Canis lupus familiaris: one gene and its partners. The protein of the gene in region 1 purifies or fractionates together with the protein of each later gene. This does not show direct contact. Links are inferred from orthologs where the notes say so. Each region holds a gene or a part of one and is shown in the gene's direction. Other genes may lie near its edges. The genes, in order: COPS6, BTBD1 and RHOBTB1.

Region 1 (3,751 bases):
AGGATTCTCTTCATGGACTGACATAATTCTGGATCATAAAGACAATGACCATTTGATTGAGGGTGCTGCTCTCCAGCTCCCCCACAGTGGGCTGCGTGTGCTATGGCGGGCTGAACAGTGGCCCCCAAATACAGCCAGGTCCCAATCCTTGGAACCTGTGAATGTTACTTTACAGGGAAAAAGAGATTTTGCAGATCTGATTGAAGTATGAATCTTCGGATGGGGAGATTATCGTGGATTTATGATTAAGGATCTTCAGATGGGGAGATTATCCTGGGTTATCCCAGTGGGCACTGTATATAATGCCAGGTGTCTTTATAAGAAAGAAGCAAGGAGGGGTTTTATCGCACAAGGCGATGTGACTACAGAAACAGAGGGACAAAGAAAAAGATTTGAAGATGCTGCTAAAACACTGGAACTGAAGGAAACTGGAACACATTTCCTGGTACCTGCTGGTTGCGGGCACTGGAGTGGGCTCTGCAGGCTCAAGGCACAGGTCTTCACCTGCTTTCTGAGAGCTTTCACTTTGGATGTGGCACAGGCATACACTGAAAGAACCAGCTAGACAAATGGGTAGGGGAGCAAGGGGGAGTAAACGCAGTGCACAGCGACGTGCTTGGGCGTAGGAGTGGGGAGGGGTCGGAGTGGGCTGGGTTTGTCCCAAGCGAGTTTTGAAAGGCTGCTGGAGATGGAGGATAGAGGGAGGCCGGGAAGGGCTGGAGTGCTGGGCACGTTCCTAGTATGTAGGTAATACGGTATTTGCAAGGAGGAAAGGACACGCCGGTGAACCATTCGCGACCAGGTTTCACCTCAGATTATCCACTCAGTGAAATACCTATTTAGGTCCTTGGCTGTCGGGTTGGACGCGGCAGAGGCCCGCACGTGGGCGTGGGGCATACGAAGGGAACTGCCAGGGGAGCCGGCGCGGCTGAAGCACGAGGACCGAGGGCCGGGTGGCAGGCAGGGTCCTGACCCTGCGGGGCCTTGCACGCCATGGCCCGGGCGCGGATCTTGTTCTGAGGGCAATAACGTGGTTCTTCATTAATTCTGCAACAGTCTTAGGAACTGGGCCGTTTTATCCCAGTTTTACTGACGAGGACGGTAAGGCTGGGAGCGCGCAGGGTGAAGTAATTTGTCCCAGATCTGTCACCGCCGCAAGCGCGTGGCGGACCCGGTCTTCCGAAGTCCACCCGCTCCGGGGCCGCCCGCCCCACCCGCCGAGGCCCCGCGCCCACTGAGCATGCGCCGCTGGCCTACGGAAGCCGACGGGGAGGGGGCGGGGCCGAGGCTGGCGGGCGCGGGGAAAATGGCGGCGGCGGCGAACGGGACTGGAGGGAGCAGCGGGATGGAGGTGGATGCGGCAGGTAACGGGCCTCGCGGAGGCGGCCTCTGGTGACGCCCCCCGGGGAGCGACAAGGCCCCCCTGGACTCCCGGGAGGAGTCAGCAGTCGGGACGGCGATCCCGCCCCCTGGACTAACTTGCGGGAGGGATGTATGGCTCCGGCTCTGCCGTCTCCCGCTCGCAGCTCCGGGGCAGAACGTGCGGCCCCGACGCTCACTCGTCCTCCTTTTCCTCCACCCTCAGTAGTCCCCAGCGTGATGGCCTCCGGCGTGACGGGGAGCGTCTCCGTCGCTCTTCATCCCCTCGTCATTCTCAACATTTCAGACCATTGGATTCGCATGCGCTCCCAGGAGGGGCGGCCTATGCAGGGTGCGTGCTGGGCGTCAATCTCCAACCTCCTCTCCTTGGTCACCTGCCCCAAGTAGGGGTCTTTGCCCCCGCCCTTCCTGAGGCCAGTCCCCCCTCCCCAGGTCACCGTGTCTCCAGCATTGCGTTCCCACTGACCTCGACCCAGGGACCGGATTCTTAACCCTCCTGTTTTCCGTGTCGCTCTCTCCCCCAGTGATTGGGGCGCTGATCGGGAAGCAGGAGGGCAGAAATATCGAGGTGATGAACTCCTTTGAGCTGCTGTCCCACACCGTGGAGGAGAAGATTATCATTGACAAGGAGTATTACTACACCAAGGAGGAGCAGTGTGAGAGGGGGATAGACTCGGGGGTGAGGAGTGGGAGTGAGAAACAAAGGCAGAGTGGGGAAGATGGAGAGTGATGGGGAAAAATAGGAGAATGGGACAAGAACTGTGTTTGTGTGAGGAGAGTATCACAAAGGATCTCAGAAAAGGAACAGTTTAGGTACCCACCCCCCAGACAGTAATAGATGAGAGAAGATAGAAGGGACTAATTATTGAGAACTGAGCCAGGAGTTGAGCGGGGAGGGGAGAAGCTGATGAAAAATATACCAGGAGTTTCCAATGAAGGGAGGGTGATTTAAAGAATGATACCCTGTGCTCTTTCCCCTGCAGTCAAACAGGTGTTCAAGGAGCTGGAGTTTTTGGGTTGGTATACCACCGGGGGGCCGCCTGACCCCTCTGACATCCACGTCCACAAGCAGGTACACATGCATGCTGGTGCATGCTGGGGCAGGGCTTGAGCAGGGGAGGAAAGATGGGCATTGACACCCACATCCCCATTCCCTTCCAGGTGTGCGAGATCATCGAGAGCCCTCTCTTTCTTAAGTTGAATCCTATGACCAAGCACACAGATGTGAGTAATACTGACCCCATGCCCACTTAGGCACGGTGCTGGACAAGCATGACAATCTTACCCTCCTCCCCTGCTGTGCTTTACATCTCTGTTGGGCTGAATCTTCACTTGAGGTGAATTCTCCGCTCAGCAGCTGTGTGACTTTAGGTTAATCATTTAATCTCAGAACTGCTTTTTGCCCTATGTATAAGGTGGGGGTTAGCCTTACTTCAGTGGGCCCTTGGGAAGATTGGGAAAATCTGCAGAAGAGCCAGTACGGTAGCCCAGGTGCACTTGATGTAAGAGCTGTCTCCCGTTGCTTTACAGCTTCCCGTCAGTGTTTTTGAGTCTGTCATCGATATAATCAATGGAGAGGTAATGCCCTGCCTTTCAACCCCGCGGTCCTGCTCCTTGGCCTTTCCTGCTCCTGACTCTGCTTTTGTGCCCTGTAGGCCACGATGCTGTTTGCGGAACTGACCTACACTCTGGCCACAGAGGAAGCTGAACGCATTGGCGTCGACCACGTGGCCCGAATGACAGCCACAGGCAGCGGCGAGAACTCCACAGGTAAGGAAGACTGGAGGTGTTTCCTCAGCAGTGGGGGGTGGAAAGCGTGGCCAGGTGCGTTTTCAACCTTGGCCTCTCCCTGTCTCCCCCCAGTGGCCGAACACCTGATAGCACAACACAGTGCCATTAAGATGCTGCACAGCCGGGTCAAGCTCATCTTGGAATATGTCAAGGCCTCTGAAGCGGGTAGGACAGGCGTCTCCCTGGCACGCCTACCACTTTTTCTCACTCCTGAGGGTGACCTCATCCACATTAATGCAGTCCTTCTGTGCCTTTAGGAGAGGTTCCCTTTAACCATGAGATCCTGCGGGAGGCCTATGCTCTGTGTCACTGCCTCCCTGTGCTCAGTACAGACAAGTTCAAGACAGACTTTTACGATGTGAGTCTAAAACCCAGGCTGGGGACGTGGGGTTTGTACATCATGTCTGCACGCAGGACCCGGGACTCAGACATTCCCTGGGCAACTGGTTTTCTGTTCCTTCCAGCAATGCAATGACGTGGGGCTCATGGCCTACCTTGGCACCATTACCAAAACCTGCAACACCATGAACCAGTTTGTGAACAAGTTCAACGTCCTCTATGACCGACAAGGCATCGGCAG
Region 2 (3,651 bases), on another chromosome or scaffold:
TAAGTTTCCATGTATAATAAGGAATAAGTTGAATGTTAACCTTATAGCAATTTTTTTAAATAAAACTGCCATTTAATTCTTTTCATTCTTTAATATTTTTAAGTATAGAGTTTTAAGTATCTAGCCTGTTTTTTGTTGAAATTTGAAAACTTAATATAAACTTGTTTGTGTTTTTTGTTAAAGAGCAAAATATTCCTAATTTGATTTATTTTTGTATTTTACTTGTAGACACACTCTGTGCGGTTCTAGAAAGAGACACACTTAGTATTAGAGAAAGTCGACTTTTTGGAGCTGTTGTACGATGGGCAGAAGCAGAATGTCAAAGACAACAATTACCTGTGACTTTTGGAAACAAACAGAAAGTTCTGGGAAAAGCACTGTCCTTGATCCGGTTTCCACTGATGACTATTGAGGAGTTTGCAGCAGGTAAGGCTATAACCTGACCAAAATCTGTGTAAAACAAATAGGCAGTCAGCTAGCCTCCCTGTGCAGGAGGAGAAGCAGCTGGTATTCATTGCGTTCTAGTTACACAATATATGAATGTGGGTATGTGCATGTAATTTCATTTATGTCTCCTGGTAGCCCTTCAGGATAACATTATAGGATATTTATTTCGATATGTGTATTAGGTTCTTTTTGTTGGTTTGTTTGAGTAGAGGCACACACAGGTTACATTAGTTTCAGGTGTACAACATGGTGATTCTGTTCTATAAGGTTATGTGCTCACCACCAGTGTAGCCACCACCTGTCACCATACAAGGCTGTTACAGTATCATTGACTGTATTCCCTGTGCTGTGCCTTTTTATTCCTGTGAATTAACTCATCCCTGGAAGTCTGGACCTCCCACACCCCTTCACCCATTTTGCCTATCCTCCCCTCTGGCAACCACCAGTTTCTGTGTTTGTGGGTCTGATCCTACCTTTTGTTTGTTTATTCTTTTGTTTTTATTTTGTTTTTTTAGATTTCCACACATATGAGTGAACATAGGTTATATTTTTAAAATACCATGTATATTTTGTATAGTTTGTATAACTATACAAAAATCATGTATTTTGGGACATCTGGCTAGTTCAGCAATTGAGTGCCTGCCTTCGGTCCAGGGTGTGATCCTGGAGTCCCAGGATGGAGTCCCACATCAAGCTCCCTGCATGGAGCCTGCTTCTCCCTCTGCCTGTGTCTCTGCCTCTCTCTCTGTGTCTCTCATGAATAAATAAATAAAATCTTTAAAAATCTTTTAGCCATTTTGACAGATGTGAGTGATGTTGAGCATCTTTTCATGTGTCTGTTGGCCATCTGGATGTCATTTTTGGAGAAATGTTCATGTCTTCTGTTTTTGAACGTATATAAAGGAAATTATATGTACAGTATGTGTTCTTTTGTGTATGGCTTTTTTCTCTTAACATGTCTTAGATTCATCCCAGTGGTTGTGTGTGACAGTAGCTCATTCTTTTTCATTGTTGTATAATCTGTTGTATGAATGTGCCATGATTCATTTATGCATTTAACTCTTGCTGAACATCTGGGTTATTTCTGTTTGGGGGCCATTAAGAACATTCTTATACATGTCACTTAGGGTGCATATGTAAACATTTCTGTTGAGTATTATACAAGTGGAATCGTTATGTCATAGAGTGTGCATGTAGTCAACATTAGATCTTACCAAATAGTTACCCAAAGTGATTATATCAGTTCATGCTCAACTGCCAAGTTAAGAGAGTTAAGAGTACATTCTAGTTGTCCCACATCCTCTGCAAAACTTGGTATTGTCAGTTTTTGTAGTTTTAGTCATATAGTAGGATGAGGACATACTTTATTGTGGTTTTAATTTTTTGTGTTTCTGACAATTAATGATGCTGATTGTGCCAATAACTGGATATCCTCCTTCATGAGATAATTTTTCTTTTAAAAAAATTATTATGGAAGTATAGTAGATATACAGTGCTATCCTAGTTTGAGGTGTATGACATAGTGTTTCAACTATTCTGTAAAAGTATAGTCACCATCTATCACCAATTAATGTTGTTATAATATTATTGGGTATATTCTCTATGCCGTTCTTCTCATCTCCATGACTTATTTTATAACTGAAAGTTTGTACTTCTTAATCCCCTCTACCTACTTTGCTCATCCCCCTCAACGACTTCCCCTCTGGCAACAGTTTGTTCTCTGTATTTAAGAGCTTGTTTATTTTGTTTGTTTGTTCATTAGTTTTTTAGTTTCCACATATATATGAAACCATATGGTATATGTCTTTCACTGTTTGACTTCACTTTAACATAATATCCTCTAGCTCTATCCATGTTGTTTCAAATGGCAAGATCTCATTCTTTTTTATGAATAATATTCCATTGTAATGTGTACCACATTTTCTTTATCTTTTTGTGTATTGATGGACACTTGGGTTGCTTCTATATCTTGGCTTTTGATAAAAAGAAAATCTTAATTTTAATGAAGTTACTTTTTTTTATTTTTATTTTTTTTTATTTTATTTATTTTTTTTTTTATTGGTGTTCAATTTACTAACATACAGAATAACACCCAGTGCCCGTCACCCATTCACTCCCACCCCCCGCCCTCCTCCCCTTCTACCACCCCTAGTTCGTTTCCCAGAGTTAGCAGTCTTTATGTTCTGTCTCCCTTTCTGATATTTCCCACCCATTTCTTCTCCCTTCCCTTATTTTCCCTTTCACTATTATTTATATTCCCCAAATGAATGAGAACATATAATGTTTGTCCTTCTCCGACTGACTTACTTCACTCAGCATAATACCCTCCAGTTCCATCCACGTTGAAGCAAATGGTGGGTATTTGTCATTTCTAATAGCTGAGTAATATTCCATTGTATACATAAACCACATCTTCTTTATCCATTCATCTTTCGTTGGACACCGAGGCTCCTTCCACAGTTTGGCTATAGTGGCCATTGCTGCTAGAAACATCGGGGTGCAGGTGTCCCGGCGTTTCATTGCATTTGTATCTTTGGGGTAAATCCCCAACAGTGCAATTGCTGGGTCGTAGGGCAGGTCTATTTTTAACTGTTTGAGGAACCTCCACACAGTTTTCCAGAGTGGCTGCACCAGTTCACATTCCCACCAACAGTGTAAGAGGGTTCCCTTTTCTCCGCATCCTCTCCAACATTTGTTGTTTCCTGCCTTGTTAATTTTCCCCATTCTCACTGGTGTGAGGTAGTATCTCATTGTAGTTTTGATTTGTATTTCCCTGATGGCAAGTGATGCAGAGCATTTTCTCATATGCATGTTGGCCATGTCTATGTCTTCCTCTGTGAGATTTCTGTTCATGTCTTTTGCCCATTTCATGATTGGATTGTTTGTTTCTTTGGTGTTGAGTTTAATAAGTTCTTTATAGATCTTGGAAACTAGCCCTTTATCTGATATGTCATTTGCAAATATCTTCTCCCATTCTGTAGGTTGTCTTTGAGTTTTGTTGACTGTATCCTTTGCTGTGCAAAAGCTTCTTATCTTGATGAAGTCCCAATAGTTCATTTTTGCTTTTGTTTCTTTTGCCTTCGTGGATGTATCTTGCAAGAAGTTACTATGGCCGAGTTCAAAAAGGGTGTTGCCTGTGTTCTTCTCTAGGATTTTGATGGAATCTTGTCTCACATTTAGATCTTTCATCCATTTTGAGTTTAT
Region 3 (3,651 bases), on another chromosome or scaffold:
ATTCGAGTGAAGGAGCTGGTGAGAAAGAGAAGAAGAGCCGGGATTTCCAGGGGCAGGCATTGAGCCTTAACCCGGATGAGGAAAGGGAGGAAGGTGCCCCAAGGACACTTCAGACCAGTCAGTGGAAGTCCTCGAGCCAGAGCCTGTCCCAACAGGAGAGTCTGGGGCTGGAAGCTGAGAGCTCAATTCCAGAGATGCAGACTTTGTCAGGCTGGAGCAAGGGGTTCCTTGACATGCACAAGGAGATGCAAGTCAATCCTGTCTCCAAGCGGCTGAGCCCCATCACCGTGGTCAGAATGGACTCATCCGTCCAGCCAGGCCCTTTTCGGACCCTGCTCCAGTTCCTTTATACAGGACAACTGGATGAGAAGGAGAAGGATTTGGTGGGCCTGGCTCAGATTGCAGAGCTTCTAGAGATGTTTGATCTGAGGATGATGGTGGAAAACATCATGAACAAGGAAGCCTTCATGAACCAGGAGATTACCAAAGCATTTCACGTCAGGAAGGCCAATCGGATAAAAGAGTGTCTCAGCAAAGGGACATTCTCAGGTAAGTGGGTCCAATGGTAAAGGCATCGATCCCTTTGGTCTTGTTTCATCAAACATTAGCCATACACGAGTAGGGGACAGAATAACCATCACTAACATGTATAAATCCTTATTTTTTTCATGTACCCCTCTAGCTTGCACATATCCACCTATTTAATTCTCATCAGATTTAAGAGCTAGATGTTTTTCCATTTTGCAGATGGGGAAACTGAAGGACAGAGAGATTAGGTAACTTGCCCCGGGTTATATAGGTAGTAAACGGTAGAGCCAGGATTTGCAGGCAAGCTCCCCTCTAAAGCACCAGTGCTTCTCATAGCTAGGCCACACGACCCCTGAGCCAGAGCCAGCACCAGAGCCAGTTGGCTTGATGCTCACAATTCCCCTTCAGGGTCCTTTCCCTGACCAAGTCTACTCTCTCCACTGACCCTTTGGCCTGGAAATCCTTGAAGTGATTTTGGCAACTCTCCTGCTATCGGGAGTGCCTCATCTGTCCACCTCCCCTCCTTTTCTTTCCCACACTCCCTTACCCTGCTCTTCTATATTTTCCTCTCCTCTTCTTTGTCCTTGATAACGATGTTGTCCACTGCCCACAGCATCTTCACATAATTGCTTTACAGACTTTTACTAACTTCTGAAATTGCCTTTGTGTGTGTGTGTGTGTGTGTGTGTGCGTGTGTGTGTGTGTGTGTTTCATTGTAAAAATTTAACTTTCTGACTTTTCCTTATGCGGACACTTCTCTTTCATCCCTTATCTTTCATAATGCCTGTCATAATACACATTTAGTACTATACATTTAGTCATCAGTTACTGAGTCTGTTCAATAATTTTAAAGCTTATAAATAATATTTACTTGAAACGTTGACCATCATGAAACAGAAGCCATCCTGAAAGCTAATGAAAAGCAGTGTTACAAACCTGCAGTAAATTAAACAATGGACCTTAAGGGAAATGAATTGAATCACAGTCCCCTTAATGCAAAGGCATAATGACCAAATACAGTGTGGAGCTTCAAGTGGATTGTCTATTTAAAAAAAAAAAAAAAAAAACTAAATACAATTTAGAGATAACTGGAAAATTTTGAATATGAACTAGATATTGGATGATATTAGGGAATCATTGCTAATTTTCTTAGACGTGATAATGATTATCTAGAAGAATGCTCTTATTTTTAGAAAACTTGATAGTTTGAAGTGTAATGCTGTTAAAAAATGTCTACACAAATATATATATATATCCAAATATACATGTATATATACATATGCACACGTATTCACTATCTACACACAAATGCGCACATACACATAAAGCTAAAGCAAATGAGGCAAAATATTAACAATGTACTATTTCTTCCACTGTTTTTATTGTGTTTGAAATTTTTCAGAGTATGGAGAAAGAAAAATATTCCTTTCCTTTGTGTTACTGTATGGTTCAGAGAATTTGTGCTGGGATCTTAGGTGCAATTTTAAATGTTTACCCCTTGATCCTTGGATGGCATAGAAGGAATTGGCAGTTCCAGAGGTGGAGGTTGATACAAAATCACGAAGGAAAGATACGGAAGAGAGGAGCAGGAGATGTAGGTTGATGAACAAGGCAGACTCAGCGGAGCTGGCTCACGGTTCTGTTTCCTCAATCCTTGGGCAGATGTGACATTTAGGTTGGATGATGGAGCCATCAGCGCCCACAAACCGTTGCTGATCTGTAGCTGCAGGTGGATGGCTGCCATGTTTGGGGGCTCATTTGTGGAAAGCGCCAACAGCGAGGTATGTGCCTTCTGAAAAGCCTAAGTGGTATCTTCATGAACATGTGTGTGTTTAATTAACCAGATGACTTCAGTTCTTCAACTGTTTCCATGAACGAGTTCCTTAGGCAGTGTTGAAGTGTCAGTTAGCCTCTTTTTTTTTTTTTTATTGGAGTTCAATTTGCCAACATATAGCATATCACCCCGTGCTCATCCCATCAAGTGCCTCTTAATTTTGCAGTTACAAGGAGCTGTTGACTGTTGCTCACCGCTTTCATTTGTAAAACAGGATCAGCTCTACCTTTTAACAAATGTCACCAAGCGAGATACTATCAAAATCATATACAATAGGGGCAGAATCTGTCTTCCAGAAGCTTCTTCAATCATGGGAGTCCTGGGCTCAGCTGAGCCCCTGCCCAGACAACGACCTTAAGAAGCCACATCCTTGGCCGCAGTCTTCTCCTCTGCCCTGCCCGGTCAGGGACAGGGACGCGCTGATGGTCTCCTTGAGCTATAACACCCACTGAGGCTCTGCCCTGACTTGCCTCCTCCAAGGGTTTGTTACCTGGAAGGAAACAGTGATGGAGCAAATGATCACTCCTCTGAACACTCCTCTCTTAAGTCTAGTGGAAGCCACTGAGCCACTTCTCCGACACTGGCCCTGTCTCCAGAGGAAGGATATTCTTAGAGCAGAGTGAGCAGTATCTTGAAGACCCTACATGTTCATCTTTTTTACAAACTCGGTTGGAAAAGAAAGATAAATTCCAATCAAGCACTTCTAACTTTAGTCTAGAAGAGCAAGCATTTTTGTTCAGTTTCGAAAGTATTTTTTAACCATCTTTTTTTAAAAAAACACGGGGACACCCCATCAAGTTTATTGTCCTAAGAGCTTTGTTTTGCATATCTCAGCATCTCTCCACACTTTTAAAAGAAATAAAGAAAACAATAGCTAACTTTTCGAAAGGGGCACTCACACCAGAAATCTGAGCACTCCCATTGTGACCCAGGAGCCTGCATTTGCATCCCCAAGTAGGGAAGCAGAATCACAAGCAGGGAAGGCTGGGGCAGAGCAGGTCACTAGGCCACCTCCTGCTTCCAGAACAAACTGCAGCTGCTCCTAAACCAACCCCCACCAAAAGGCTGGCTGCTGTGTGAGGCAAAAAGTGTTAGAATTATTCCTATGACCTCTCTTGGTGTCTACCAGCCTTTATGAATCAGGAGGTTCTCTGCTGTAACTAACGAATTCTTTCCTGTGCCATCAGACGGGTTTCAGCGCCGCCGTGTCACTGAGACTACAGCTGCCTACACAGTGGAAGCTGCCCAGTGAAGGATGTGGGGCTCAAGTCCCAACTCCTCCACTTCCA

What was found.
Region 2: the proteins of COPS6 (region 1) and BTBD1 purify together in Homo sapiens (affinity purification with mass spectrometry; 3 studies listed by BioGRID and IntAct, counting the BioPlex papers as one, with this or other methods). This does not show direct contact. The link is inferred for Canis lupus familiaris from reciprocal best matches to the Homo sapiens genes COPS6 and BTBD1.
Region 3: the proteins of COPS6 (region 1) and RHOBTB1 purify together in Homo sapiens (affinity purification with mass spectrometry; 4 studies listed by BioGRID and IntAct, counting the BioPlex papers as one, with this or other methods). This does not show direct contact. The link is inferred for Canis lupus familiaris from reciprocal best matches to the Homo sapiens genes COPS6 and RHOBTB1.

The regions. Positions count from the first base shown.
Region 1 is NC_049227.1:9,447,098-9,450,848, reverse strand, and holds the start of COPS6 (COP9 signalosome complex subunit 6), read left to right. Parts: upstream 1-1,215; 5' UTR 1,216-1,240; coding exon 1,241-1,364; intron 1,365-1,585; coding exon 1,586-1,711; intron 1,712-1,904; coding exon 1,905-2,036; intron 2,037-2,363; coding exon 2,364-2,452; intron 2,453-2,541; coding exon 2,542-2,604; intron 2,605-2,910; coding exon 2,911-2,958; intron 2,959-3,035; coding exon 3,036-3,150; intron 3,151-3,243; coding exon 3,244-3,336; intron 3,337-3,428; coding exon 3,429-3,529; intron 3,530-3,635; coding exon 3,636-3,751. UniProt on the Homo sapiens protein: Component of the COP9 signalosome complex (CSN), a complex involved in various cellular and developmental processes.
Region 2 is NC_049224.1:55,298,772-55,302,422, reverse strand, and holds part of BTBD1 (BTB/POZ domain-containing protein 1), read left to right. Parts: intron 1-228; coding exon 229-426; intron 427-3,651.
Region 3 is NC_049225.1:13,657,257-13,660,907, reverse strand, and holds part of RHOBTB1 (rho-related BTB domain-containing protein 1), read left to right. Parts: coding exon 1-549; intron 550-1,878; exon of another isoform or gene 1,879-2,190; coding exon 2,191-2,309; exon of another isoform or gene 2,310-2,852; intron 2,853-3,651.